Arabidopsis thaliana: one gene and its partner. The protein of the gene in region 1 interacts with the protein of each later gene in a pairwise test. Each region holds a gene or a part of one and is shown on either strand. Other genes may lie near its edges.

The links. The genes of interacting proteins can lie anywhere in the genome.
Region 2: the proteins of MPK11 (region 1) and AIP3 interact in binary tests that used the Arabidopsis thaliana proteins (3 or more experiments, as listed by UniProt).

The regions. Positions count from the first base shown.
Region 1 is NC_003070.9:198,778-206,390, reverse strand, and holds MPK11 (MAP kinase 11), read right to left. Parts: upstream 4,281-7,613; 5' UTR 4,047-4,280; coding exon 3,883-4,046; intron 3,610-3,882; coding exon 3,480-3,609; intron 3,401-3,479; coding exon 3,263-3,400; intron 3,125-3,262; coding exon 2,792-3,124; coding exon of another isoform or gene 2,729-2,791; exon of another isoform or gene 2,632-2,728; coding exon 2,448-2,631; coding exon of another isoform or gene 2,363-2,447; coding exon 2,202-2,362; 3' UTR 1,951-2,201; downstream 1-1,950. Other genes in the region: AT1G01570 (transferring glycosyl group transferase (DUF604)), read right to left, coding at 442-1,308; BPS1 (BPS1-like protein (DUF793)), read right to left, coding at 4,816-5,865.
Region 2 is NC_003070.9:2,808,114-2,814,657, reverse strand, and holds AIP3 (ABI3-interacting protein 3), read left to right. Parts: upstream 1-3,344; 5' UTR 3,345-3,531; coding exon 3,532-3,543; intron 3,544-3,631; coding exon 3,632-3,748; intron 3,749-4,472; coding exon 4,473-4,733; 3' UTR 4,734-4,880; downstream 4,881-6,544. Other genes in the region: AT1G08800 (myosin-binding protein (Protein of unknown function, DUF593)), read left to right, coding at 1-1,080; AT1G08790 (1-phosphatidylinositol-4,5-bisphosphate phosphodiesterase epsilon-1, putative (DUF1685)), read right to left, coding at 2,012-2,094, 2,180-2,669; PRA1.E (prenylated RAB acceptor 1.E), read right to left, coding at 5,096-5,725; AT1G08760 (GPI-anchored adhesin-like protein, putative (DUF936)), read right to left, coding at 6,249-6,544.

The DNA.
Region 1 (7,613 bases):
GTGAGTGCCGAGATTATCGCCATACAAAATATACATTTTACTAAAATTACATAAATGTTTTCAGTTTTATTATGATGTGTTATATACATAAGTCTTAATAAAACAAAAAAAAACAAAAAATCAGAATGCACTAATAAAATAAATGATTTGTAATGGCTTTTGCATTTGGTATCTACTAGAAGATATGAGTGAGTTAATGAAAAATATGGAAGTTTGATTAAAGACTTTGCCTAAAATAATAATAAATGCATTTTTAAGTTATTCTGTTTCCTAAACAAAACCTAGCTAAGATCTTGACCCTTCAAACATTAAAATAAAAACACTCTATGAAAACTGAAATAAAACTTAAGTTTTCACCCAAAAAAAGGACAATGTAGGAAAAATCTTCAAATGGAAATTAAATTTAATTGAAGGAAAATAAAATAAAAACAGAGGACTAACCTGATGGAAGCCAACTTCCTTAGTCAAAGGAACACCGAGTTCCGACATACAAGCATGAATCCGATCATCGGAGCCGTACAATTCCGAATATCTCTGAATACAACGATCTTGCATTTTCTCTAATGCTTTAGCCAACGGATAGCTAATCGCGAACCCTCCTCCTCCATAAGCCATCCCGTAAGAGAACTTGAGATTCTGTATATGACTCTCCGACGAGCTTCCGATGTAATAAAACTGATTGTGATCGTACTTTCTCAAAACCTTGACAAGATTCTCCGGGAAAAACACAGTGTCGTCGTCTCCCATCACAATCCACCTCACGTTTTTCTCCAACTCTGTTCCGTTCAACAGCCTCACCGTCTCCGAGACGATTCTCGTGATTCTGATCGCCGATCGGAGACCCTTTGGGTATCTGTACTGAAACCTAGACGTGTCGGAGGAGATTCTGATCGGAGGTAATGTTTTCGAAACGTTGTCGTTTTGGTTAATGTGTTGGTCTAACCAAACGACGCCGTTCATTTCACCGTTTGGTTTCCACCAGAGCTTCACGTAGTCTTTACGGTGTTTCCAGAATTTCGCAGAGGCGGCGATTCCGAAAACGACGTGCTTGAGTTCGGTTTGGTCCGGTTCATGAACCGACCCGGATCCGGATACGACGGGTGAAACAGAGAATTTGATCAGAGGTTGAGAAGAAGAGGAGATGAAATTTAAAGGGTAGAAAACGAATTGAAGAGAGAAGAGAATGGCGAGAATTAAGAAGATTAGCCTCGACATTAGCCAATAAAATGAAAAATGTGAATCACATGAAAAGTTTTTAGCTTTCAAGTATGAAGAAAGCTGCTTCTGATCTTTCTTATCGTCTCCCATGGCGGATAATTCTTCCGGCGAAATGAGGAAGACGACGACGAAGTAACCGAAACTACGCCGTTTTTTTATTTTTTTGTCGTGGTGGTGAGTCACTGGGGGAGGGTTTCAGAGAAGAGATTAAAAGCTCTTCAAAGGAGCAGATGAAAAGATTTTTATATTAGTATTTATCCTATGGAAAAAGGAATATTTTAGTCAACTATTAATTTATTTTTAATTAAGAGGATGTACTTATTTATTTATTTACAAACAAAGAAACGGCATGAAAATATTTGACTGTATCTATTAGCACCGGTCAAATCTACCATTTTCGAATGATCAATGCTTATTTTTGGTAATATAATTTCAGTATGTTTGATTATAATTTATTTGATTTTGTGTGAATATCAATATCACTTTTCATAATAAACCGATAAGTTAGGTAAAAAGTTCACGAGTTTATTTTAAAAAGAAAAGATAGAAATATTTAGGTGATATACCCATAACCTACTCTCTTGTTTTTAGCCATACCATAACCTACTTCATATTCGTGATATGTTTTTTCTTTTTCAGTCGTGATAAAAAGAAGTCAATAAGAGCTGAAATTAAATCTCAAAAATAGGTTTAAGGCATTAAATTACTTTTTTCAGTTCAGTCTAGTGTTGGGCCAATCAGATAAGACTAGTGTTGGGCCGAAATTTATTTGACATGTTACTTCTTTACTCAGAATTTGTATTTGTTTCATATTTATAGACTTTTTTTTTTGTTTTTACATTACAAACTTTACTATATCAGAAATTCAATGAACACACAACAACAAAAATAAAATAAAAAAATCAATGAACAAACAGAGAAAGAAAAAAGCTTATTTCGAGTTTCTTTTCAAGATTCTCTTAAAATCTCACACACTAAGAATCTTAAGGGTTAAACTTGACTGATTCACGATATATAAGCTCCTTGATGTTCTCTTCCGTCAATGAAGGTTGCTCGAAATCAAAATGGAACGGTCTCACACACACAGGTTCCTCGTTATATTCGTGTAGCGGTGCTAAGTAAGGGTGGCACAAGGCTTCATCGACTGCAACTCAAAACAAGCTCAAAAGTATTATAAAAAGAAAAAATCAAAAGAGAATGCAACATATATAGGTTTTCGTCTGCTTTACCTGTAATGCGTCTGTTTGGGTCAAAGACGAGCATTTTCTGCAGCAAATCAACAGCATTGACCGACATGTTTGGGAATCTAGCGGCAAAGTTTTGTCTTGGATACTGTGGAAGCTGTCTTACGTATCTTCTAGCGTTGTCGCTTCTTAAGAATCCTAGGCTTGAATCATCTGGTGAGCCTATAAGCTGTGTATGAAAAAGATAAACCATACATGAGTTTGTTCATTAAACTACAAACAACAAAAACAGAACCAAAACAGAACAAACGTAGCAACAGGATAGTTCAATGTTCTTTCTTCAAATTGAAACGAAATAATATAGTCAAGTGAAAAAGTGAAAAGTTTACCTCAGTGATGAGTCTAAGCTGCTGAACATAATCTCTGCCCGGAAATAACGGCTCCCGCGTCATTATTTCACCGAGTATACAACCGACAGACCAAATGTCGATAGCTGCAGTGTATTCTGAGCAATTAAGGAGCAACTCTGGAGCTCGGTACCAACGTGTAACAACATATTCTGTCATGAAGTCTGTCTCTGATTTAGTCCTCGCAAGCCCAAAATCCCCAATCTTGAGGTCACAGTTTGCATTCAGGAGCAAGTTACTCGGTTTTAAATCACGATGCAGTACATTGGCTGAATGCACATACTTGAGGCCTCGCAACAACTGATACAGGAAGAACTGCAAAAACATAAAATTTATGGTTATACATCAAACCCCAACTTCATAGCCTTCGAACCAAAAAGATTCTGATTATAAACTTTGACCTAAACAGAAGATACTTGAGCTATAAGAAGCACAGGAGAGGTTAATGCGTACCCGTGAATGATCATCAGTTAACGGTTGGTTAGAGCGGATAATGTGGTGAAGATCAGTGTCCATTAACTCATAGACAATGTGAACATCATTGAAGTTGTCTGGCTGAGGTGGTCTTATTATGTCTATAATGGCAATGACCTGTGAGATAAACTCCAGAATCAGGATAATTACTAGAAAACATGTGGAGAATAATAAATAAAATAAGACAAAAGCTTACATTGTCATGATCCATATGCTTAAGAAGCTTAATCTCTCTCAAAGTTCTCTTAGCGTCGATAATGTTGCCAAATGCATTACCAATCTTCTTGATCGCTACTTCCTCACCCGTCTCCGAATTCCATGCAGCACTAAATCAGATAAATAAATGATCCTTCAAAACTTCTATTCACCACAATGATCTCTTAATCAACTATGAGATAAGTAGCAAAGTTACAAAAACCCACCGAAAAATAATTCTTTCTTTTGGTCAACCAAAACATATTTATCACATAGAAAATATTTAAAATTTTCACTAGTAATGAGAAATCACAAGTTTTGAGCACAAACTTAGCCTTTAACAAAATGTCTCATCTCTAAAGCTAAAAACTCAAAAAAAAAAGACAACAGTTTTAGATGCTAACCAGACGATGCCAGAAGCGCCTCTGCCGATAGGACGAAGAGGAGGAACATACTTTTTAGAAACTTCAAAGAGATTTCCATAGACATTATACTGCACATAACGACCACCATTGATACTTACTCCTCTGTTGCTGTCATCACCGAAGAATGGTTTCTCTATTGACATTTCTCTCTTTCTCCCAACAAAAAAAAGTTCAAACTCAAAGATTCTGAATTGAACTAACTTGAGATGAAACAGAGGAGATTTTGGCGTGTTGGAGACTTGTTTGGTTGTTGGGGTTTATAAAAAGAGGGAAAAGAATAACGTGTGAAAGTTTGGATCTTTTGAAGGGCAAATCAGAAGAAGAAGAGTCTTCGTCTTCTCGGACGACCCGTGAGTGAAAATCAACACACGACATTGCTTTTTTCTTCGTCTTTTCTCTGAGTACGACGACTTCATATTGGTCTACAAGTCAATGTAACCGGAACAAACTCAATCCCAATATCAACCGAACCGAACCGAACTAATTCAACTTCATTTTTGCACAACCGAGAATAAACCGTAACTGAAATGTAATAATCTAGCTAACAAGAAAATCAAACCGGTAATATATTTTAAAATCTTTTAGTCGAATGTAACTGTATATTGAAAATCATATCAGCAGTTGATAATCTTCTGTTTGATTTGAAGTCTTTGATCTCTTTTCTCTGTGAATTTTCGATCTAACTGTCGATAATACGGATCTAGCAGCAGTTGATAAATGTTGGGATCTTGATAGCTTCAAAGATATTCATAATATATATAGATAAGTTGGTAAAACCTTTACTTATACAACTACTACTTTCAAAGCATCTCATACAAACGACTACGATTGCACAAAAACCTAATAATACATTCAATACCAAGAAGATGGAACACTTGAAGTAAAACCATCTGTACAAACATTTATAGTTTATCAGAATCCTCTGTAATTTTTTCCGGCAGCCTTTTTTGGCGATGTTGCCTGTAGGGTTGATGCACCCATCGACCTTAGGTTCTCTAGTAATGTGTCTCTCCCCGATAACAGAATCTTGAAGAAACAATCCACTTCTTTCGAAACAAGATCTATCCCATTCGATAATTCTGTGACCGAGTCCTTCAGTGGCTGCAGCGATATGGGATCTATTGATCCTTGTTGGATCGCAGGGTAGAGTTTCTTGACACCTGAAGCAACTGCCTCTAGCTCTTTCAGAACCGTTAACCCGTCTGACAAAAATATGTTCTTGATTTCTGCGTTCATGGTGTTCTGCACTTCCATGAATGATTGTGCCCATGGAAGCTCGTTTGAGACTGTAAGGTACATCAGATTCTGCGATGAACCTGAGAACGCTGCAGCAAAAACACCAGAGATGTATAAGGTCTTAACCTTTACACCATATAGAGCTCTCATCAAGACTTTCCCTTTGGCCGAGTTTTTCACCTTGGGGAGATTCAAGGTCTGAACAAGGCTGCTCAAGATTGCACGGCAATTTTCTATTCTCGGGTTCTTGGAGACAATGTGTTGCTTCCAACTGTCTAGTGATGACTGAGCTTTCGACAGATTCTGAGGAGAGTTGGCCTCCAAGTTATGCAGAGCAAACTGGAGTAAGAGATGACCTTGGTTGAGACGGGTAAGCTCAGAGCTAAAGGCATTGCAGAGATCAAGAAGCTTCACACTAATGTCAAGATAGACATCAACCCATTTATCCTCCCAATCTGATACAGGAAGCTCAAGATCGGTTATAAGGGTCTTGATACCATTATGTGTCTCGCAAAGAGATTCCATAGCTTGTTTCATCCATGAGACAGTCAGGATATCGCTCTTTTCCTTAGGGACAAGCTTACTAATAGAAGATGCTAAGTTGGTCTCAAAATTGTTCAGGAGTGGGAGAAGCTTTGAGGAGAGTACCGAGTTCTTCGAAGATAGATTTTTGAAGGGGTTTCCAAAAGGGAAGAAACCACGTGGAGGGTCTTGTGGACGAGCCATTCTGATAAGTTTCAACTGAAAAAAACAAGAAAGAAGAAGAAAGATAACACATCAATTGTCACAAACCATAATACAAAAACATTATAACTTTGATTATATTCTAGATCCATATTAGATATCCAATACAAAAGATCAAATGTTTGGATTTTTTTCTAAAGTATGGATCTTTTCTCAACAGATCTTAAAAACAAAGGTAATGAAACCTCTCATATAAAGAAAAACACAAACAACATCAGATCTGTTCTTCAATTCACAAATTTGAACTCATCATACAAAAGTCAACAACAATTCTCTAACTGTGGTAAGATCTATAAAGCTTTAAAATCAACAGATCCAAGACTCAAGCGTAAGAGGTAAGAGCTATCTCTAATTTTTTAAGTCAAAACCATTTTCTTCTGTATAAAAAGCCAAACCCAGATCTTAAAAGATCTGAAATCCGAATAACACATATCTAAATTCAGAAAGAAACGAGATCAAAGACCTCAATTCAAACACAAGATTATAATAACAACAACAACATGAAGCGTAGACAAACTATAAAGCCGAAAAAAATAAACAAAACTCACCTAAAGAGATAGATCGGTGGACAAAAACTAGACCAAAACTATGAAACTTGAATTCGCCTGAGAGAAGTTTCTGAGCAAAGAAGATAAGAAATAAGAGTCGGAAAAATATTAATCAAAAGAGCCGTCTGATAGAGATAAAATCTTAATAAATACTGCGACAAAGATCAATAGATCAAGGAAGGGTCAGTGTTCATACCGAAAATTAAAGACTAATATTTGTGGACAGAAATTTCCAGGAAAGACGAGAGAAGTTTGTAACGCGGTTGTTCTTATATGACTAACCACAAAAGTTGCCGTATTTCTGCAGATTAATAAACCACTAAAGAAAACTAATAAGTGGTATTTAGGTTTTGTCGTGGATTTGGTAGACGATAGTGACAGGTGGAGATTATGTTTCAGTTACGGAGCTGTGACGGAACAACTTAGATGACAGATCAATGCGTGTACGGTTACGATGTGTTTGTTCAACTCAGGCCTACTTGTACATCTGATGAAAAAGTCAATTATAGCCAGCGGATCCTACGGCTCCTAATTTTCAGATCTTTCGTATTTGTTAATGATTAACCATTTTAGTGGTATTTTTTTTTTTCGTATTTGTTAATGATTTTCTATAATGACTTTTCAAAGAGTAATTTAGCTAAGTGGCCATTGGAAAAATGTGATATTATCTTAAATGAATGAAAATATCTCTGATGGTCGATTAAACCGCATGTTGACATATTAACTAGCGTTTTATGATTTTATTTAGTGCAACAATTTATATGCTTTACAAACAATTTGTTTTTGTTAGTGATAGAAATTTTCCTTGGTATAATTTATTTTGTTAACTACATCAAAAAGATGCATGTATGTATACATATTGACGTTTGTGTACGCAATACAAACACACATATTTTACTCTTTCTCCTCGTACACAAAATGGTTTAATTTTTCTTTAAGATATAGCAATGTATCATAAAACGGAATGACTTGTACAAGTGTATATGTATTCATAATCTTACTTTCTACAGTTTTTATTTAGGCAAAATTGTTGTCCTTGAGTCTAAGTTTTCCTCCTACACGTGAATATAGATTCCGGTCGTCGGTTGAGACAAGTGTGCACTTATCTTGTGTTAACGAGACAAGCAAGTTACCCATGTTTGATTATAATTTTAATACTCGACTGGTTTATTAAATTCTTGC
Region 2 (6,544 bases), 2.6 Mb from region 1:
GAGTCAGAATCTTCTTCCTTCAACTCAATGTCAGTGGCAGCAGAAACAAACCAATATTCAGGTGAATTACTGGATCTTGCAGATGCATACAATATCGTTGTAGGAAACGAAGGTCACTATGATAGTAATGGAAGACAACAAATAGAGAATTGGATGAAGAAAGATACGTCTAGAGTTAGCGAAGACCTTAAAGCACTTCTTACTCAAATATCAGCTTCTCGTGGGATAGAGTTTTTGTCACCTAGAGATGTAAGCCCCAAGATTTCTGTTAACAGTAGCGATCAAGAGACAAAGAACCTAGATCATGATATGCAGCTGCTACTTCAAAAGAGAATGCTTGAAAGGAACGAGAGTAACTTATCGTTGGAAGGAGTTTCTGTGACTGAAATCGAGGGTGAAAGTGAGGGTGATCGGTTGAAAAGACAGGTTGATTATGATAGGAAACTGCTGACTGGTTTATATAAAGAATTGGAGGAAGAAAGAAGCGCTTCAGCGGTTGCTACAAATCAAGCAATGGCTATGATAACGAGGTTGCAGGAAGAGAAGGCGTCATTCCAAATGGAGGCTTTGCAGAACCTGAGGATGATGGAGGAGCAAGCAGAGTACGATATGGAAGCAATACAGAGACTGAATGATTTACTTGTTGAGAGAGAAAAACTAATACAAGATTTAGAAGCTGAGATTGAATACTTCCGGGACCAGACCCCTCAGAAGAAGAATAAGCTAGATGTTGCAGAAAAAGTGACCGAGATGGATTCCCCTAGTGAGGGAATGAGCAACAAGATACAGAGTTGTTTAGTTGGGTTCGACGAAGAGAGATTATACATCACCAGTTGTCTGGAGAAGATTGAAAACAGAGTAAATGGCAAGGCTCATGACGATAATCTACCAGCACAAGAATCTGTTTCTGAGCTACATGAGAGAGTAGAAAGGCTGAAGGGAGACTTATACTTCCTAGAACAAGTTATGAATTCTCTTGGCCATGGAAATGAAGGCGTGCAATTTGTAAAGGAAATAGCTTCTCATTTGCAAACTCTGCGGAGTCTCAGCATGAAAAGACAAGATCAGACTGAGTGTTGATGTCCTGAGTAACAATCTTCACAAAGGTATGTTCTTTCCTCTTCCCTGATTGTTGTGTTGATTTTGTTCTTCAGATAACTTCACCTGCGGAAATTATAGCTCTTTGTACAAACATCTTATTATTCATATGTCGTTCTGGTTTTTTAATATGTTAGACACCTTTGTGGAGAGGATATTGTAGAGGAAACTAAAAGAAGTTCAAGATTCAAGAAGCTTAAAGAAACTGTATAGCATCGTCTTCATTGCCTTCCCCTTTCGTATACGATAATCTCAGAATTCTTTACGATTTCATTTTTGGGTTTGGTGTTCATAATTTCCTTATGGGTTTTCATATTCTTTGTGTTTATTTTGCATTTTTCTTCTAGTTTTGAGTGAAGAGTGAATGTAGGTTTTGTTCTGAAGTTCTCATTTGATTTTTTTTATTAGGTTGGTTGATACTTTTGTTTAGCATGTCAAAAGTCATGCAACTTTGTTAAACTTGTTGTACATTTCTTCGTTATAAACTACTTATACGTAATGTCCTTTGTTAAACTCATATTTCTTTGTTGGTGTTAGGACCTCGAATTTGGAAAATAACAAGAAGGTTGATACGCATAATACAAACTTACAAAAGACAATTAAAAGAGGAAGAGAAGCCAAAACCTAATATCTAAAATATTTTCTTACTGTTAAAGTAGTGATATCTAAAAAATTAAAAACTGTCTTTGGCGAAAAAAAAAAGGGTTCAAGAATAATAACATGTAAGACCACCATGCATCATTCTTATTTCTTCTTTTAGTTTGAACTTCAATAATCCGTCCTCCTCTGTCTTAACCAACTCCTTAATTAATCTGTCTTAAGCTTCCTTAATTTCTACAACACTTCCTTTGTCTCAACCAAATTTGTGTAGTATCATTCATGTCCCACTCTTGTACATCTCTCACTTCTATGCTTAATTGGAAGATTGTATCACAGAACATGCCACAGCTTGTGCCCAATGCCTCAGTCTCGTTTTAACCTGTTGAGGATCATCTCCTGCAAATTTATAGAATATAACATCAAAACACAATCATATTATGAAAATATCAATCTGACGAAAAAGTTTAGGTTGCTATGTTACCTGGAGACATAACCTTCAAAGAATCAGAGTCGCTTATTGGACTACCAAAAGAGGAAGATCGGTCTCCGAGGGAAGTAGGACGGGAGGATGAAGAAGATCCACCACTGCCTGGTGTAGAAACCGGCGAGATCTGACGAGTCACAGCGAAGTAAAGGTCCAATGCAGGCAATGTAGTTGTAAGATGTTGCCCTTGCTCCTCGTTAAACCCGAACCCTAACTCAATAGATCCTTTGAGCTCACTCAAGTCCTCGTCCGTCAAGTCATCTCCTCCTTCGTTATGCTTCTCAAGGTGATGGAGCATCTGGCGACGGCGACGCTCCCATGCGATGTCTCTACGGGTCTCTAACATGGAGAGTTGCTTCGAGAGACGTTTCTTAGCCTTAGCTTTCGGTGGTTCCAATGGCATCTTTTGAAGCTCTTCTACTTCGCTGTCGTAGAAAGATGACGACGATGAGGTTGATACACTCAATGCTTCTCCAACCCTCACCATCTTTCTCTGTTGTTAATATAAGAAATCGCAGGCACGTTTATGATTATCAACAAGGGGCAGAATATTTTTGTGATGATGTGCCTTGTTGTACAAGTTAGCTCATGTAAGCGAGGAAAAACAGAAGAACTTGAATAGATTAGTGAAAATCCCAGAACTCTGATTCCCTTTAAAAAATGTTCATCCCGGAAGAAGAAAAGGGGTAAGAAGTTTTTTCTGTTTGGTTTATTTTATTAATGTACAGAAGGAGATATGTTTTCTGGTGAACTTTAATGGTGTGATATTACAAAACACAGAAACAATGAGTTTCTTCTACCACACATTTGGTGTTGTTTAAAAGTAGGGTTTGTAGAATTTCCATTTGCCATTTTTAAAGGGATCTCTCTGTTAATTCCCTGGGGAGATTCTGGAGCTTGATTGATTATGGAGACAGAATCCAAAAACAAACCTTGGTGGTTTTTGTTGGAATAACTAACTCTTACTTGATATAGGTTTTGTTCTAGAAATTTTTGGTGTTGTTGTTGGTCGAAACATATTACTAACACTTGCAACTAACAAGATGGTATAACCACTAAACTAGTACAAGTATCATTTAGTTAATTAAACATGTTAGTATGTTACAAAATTTACGAATCAATAACGAAATAAGCAAAATAACCAATTCCAAGCCAAGTGGGACAAACTCGACCGAAAAGACCAAAAATCAATCATAATTTGGTATCAAAACCATTATACCGGGAAGTACCAGAATAACTCGGTTGGGCCTAGCCTCTAATAAAAATCGGTCGGGAAAGAAACTCACAACTCTCTCTCACACAGCAACGTTCTATTGAAATTTGGCCTGAATCCCCAGAGTGCGACGAAAATGCAGCAGCAAGTAAGAAAATCATCTCGAATAGGAGTAATTTATTTTGTTAGCATCTTCTTCAATTGATGCTAATGGATGGTTGATGATGATGTTGCAGGGGAGTAAGAGTGGATCTGAGATGGAGGTGACATGGGAGGACCAGCAGAACATTAATATCTTCAGCCGTCTCAACAACAGAGTCCATGACCTCGATGACGATATCAAATCCGCCAAGGTTCTCTCTTTTATGTATCCTTGATTTTTTCTTCTACACGATTCTAGGGTTTTAAGATTAGGTTTTATTCATGGATTCAATTCGCTATGTTGCATCGTTTAGGTGGTGGAATACTGTGATTAGATCCAATCCCGTAATGAATTCACCAAATAATGAATCTACTACACATCGGTTTGCTCTCAGCTAACTGATTAACTCCTTGTTGATGAAATGAAATCAGCACTGCTACAACCCGATACAAAAGCTAATTACAATGATCCTGAGAGTATATGATAAGTGTTGTTGGTCTAGTGTAGGATCATGATTAAGATTATTTGAGATAATTCCTGATTTTATTGATTGTTGTAAATTGTAATTTTACTTCATTCAGATAACCCCACAAGAGAATCTCTATACTCTCATATCTCATTTTACATTCTCTTTAGGTTGTACCAATCTACTGTAACCTGCTTATACCATCCGTGCACTCTTACATATCACTGCTCCCTTAACTTTCTCCTTCGTTGGTGAATATAAGCCTGCTAGGGTATATCAGATCACTGTAATTAGATATTGTAATGGTGTTGATAGTTCAGCATGTGTAGGAAACAAAAAGGGAGATGTGGGACTTTGCAATAATAAGTGGATACTTGTCTTGTTCAATCGTTTCATTAGGGGGATTAAAACAGCATTCTACTGTGTGTTTCTGCATCTAGCTTGATTAAAAAACAATTGATTTATGCAGGAAAAGTGTGAAAATCTAGAGGATGCAGGGAACGAGTTGATCCTTGCTGATGAGGAGATGGTGCGTTTTCAAATAGGAGAAGTGTTTGCTCATGTGCCGAGGGACGACGTAGAAACAAAGATAGAAGAGATGAAAGAAGCGACCTGCAAAAGCCTTGAGAAACTCGAGCAAGAGAAGGAATCAATTGTAACACAAATGGCAGCGCTGAAGAAGGTATTGTATGCTAAGTTCAAAGATTCTATCAATCTTGAAGAAGACTAGTTAGTAGTTATTCCCAACTTTGTTTTTCTTCTATTGCATCAGTTTATGATTCTACTGTGAGTGTAGACCAAAGGATTCTTGAATTTAACATACTGGTTTTGTTCATTATGAAATTTCATCTGGTTAATGCATACTTTTCTTTTTCTATCGGAAATTATGTTTTTGGCAATTCTATAAAATACCATAACACCAATTTGTTTTTTCCCAGAATTTGTATACATTCAAACAAAATGAAACACACACGCCAAAATATAAATACAAGAATCTTTGGGAAATCCAAAATACAAAGCCCTAAATTGATTCCCTTAGCTTCTTCAATCAAAAACCCAAGAAATTACGAGTAATTCTCCAAACCGGTTTACTCAAATTGGGGTATAACTCGACGGTGGCCGGTTACCAGAACCGGCAGACACCAGGCCACCACGGCGAGCACTTTCTTCATCAAGAAACAAATCATCGGTATTACGAAAAGCGCCGTGAGCTCCGACGATGAGCAAACCAATGATCAGCGAAACCAGAACGTTTTCGCCCACATCTGTATATACCAATGCCAAAACCGTTACCAAGCTGAGTAAAACCAGCACGATCTTGTCATCTACTTCTTTCCCCGAAATCACAATCGAATCGTTTGCGTCTCGAGAGAAATAGAGAAGAATCCATCCGATGAAGACGACGATGAAAGCGATCATAGACATCGGATGGTAAATAAGGCCGAGGAAAACAATGGCGAGAACGGCGAGAGCGTAATTTCCACGGAAATAAGAGATGTTGTGCTTTAGATGCGCCATGGCTTCATCATACCCGCGAGGGAGAGAGAGCGCGGACAGATCGAGAATCTCTCGCCATGGACGGAGCGTCGTGATCATCGATTGCGTCGTCTGCTTGGCGCGTGCACTCAACGTCCCGATGATTGTGGTGTTGGAAGTGGAAGAAGGACCGACTCCTCCACCACCAGCGCCGCCATAACCGTACGGCGGAGGTTTCTGATTCATCGGAATTGGTTGATTTTGTGTTTGAAAATAACACAAATCTGTGGTCAAATGGCAAAACCTTGGATTTCAAAGAGTCCATGTGGAATATGGGATGATGGGAGGGACTTGTTCGGTGATTATTATTTTCTTTTGGGACCTTGTAGTTTTTTTATTATTACAAATAAACCATAAACAAATCAACTTTTACCGATCGCCTCTATTTCCACATAATCATGAATCGTCATAGTTTTTGTAAAATTACAGAATTGTGATGGATCTAAGTCTTCTAATGATATTTTTGTTTTTGCTGATCTTCTAATCTTTAATCGCTAGAGAAGAGATATCGTTATTAATGGATAAAAAATATGTTGAAATCTTTCGAACCAATAGGTTCTCTTTAGTGAGTATCTGACTGAATAAAAAATACCAACATTTCACGTCGGTAGGCTTCTTAGTGATGCCTGAATTATACAGAAGAAATTGACCGCCAATTTTCATATATACAAGAAAAAAAAAAAACAAGTAGAAGCTTCTTCATCATCATTTATCTCTTTGCTTTGGTTTCGATTGGTTTAGGTCTAGGAGAAGAGACTGAGCCACCACCACCACCAAGTGCTGCAGCTGCTGACTCCACATGTGTGAGCAGATACTCGTAGATCTTCTTCCGTAATCGATCGATTGTTTCCTTAGAGACTTCTTGTAACCCTTCTTCATCCTCTTTCGATCCAATCTCGTCTAACCAATCATTCACACTCTTCAGCTGAGACAGCATCCCCGCAATCTGCCCATTATCAGACAGACTGAGACTGGATGATGTAATCACGTCAGCGTCTAAGAATC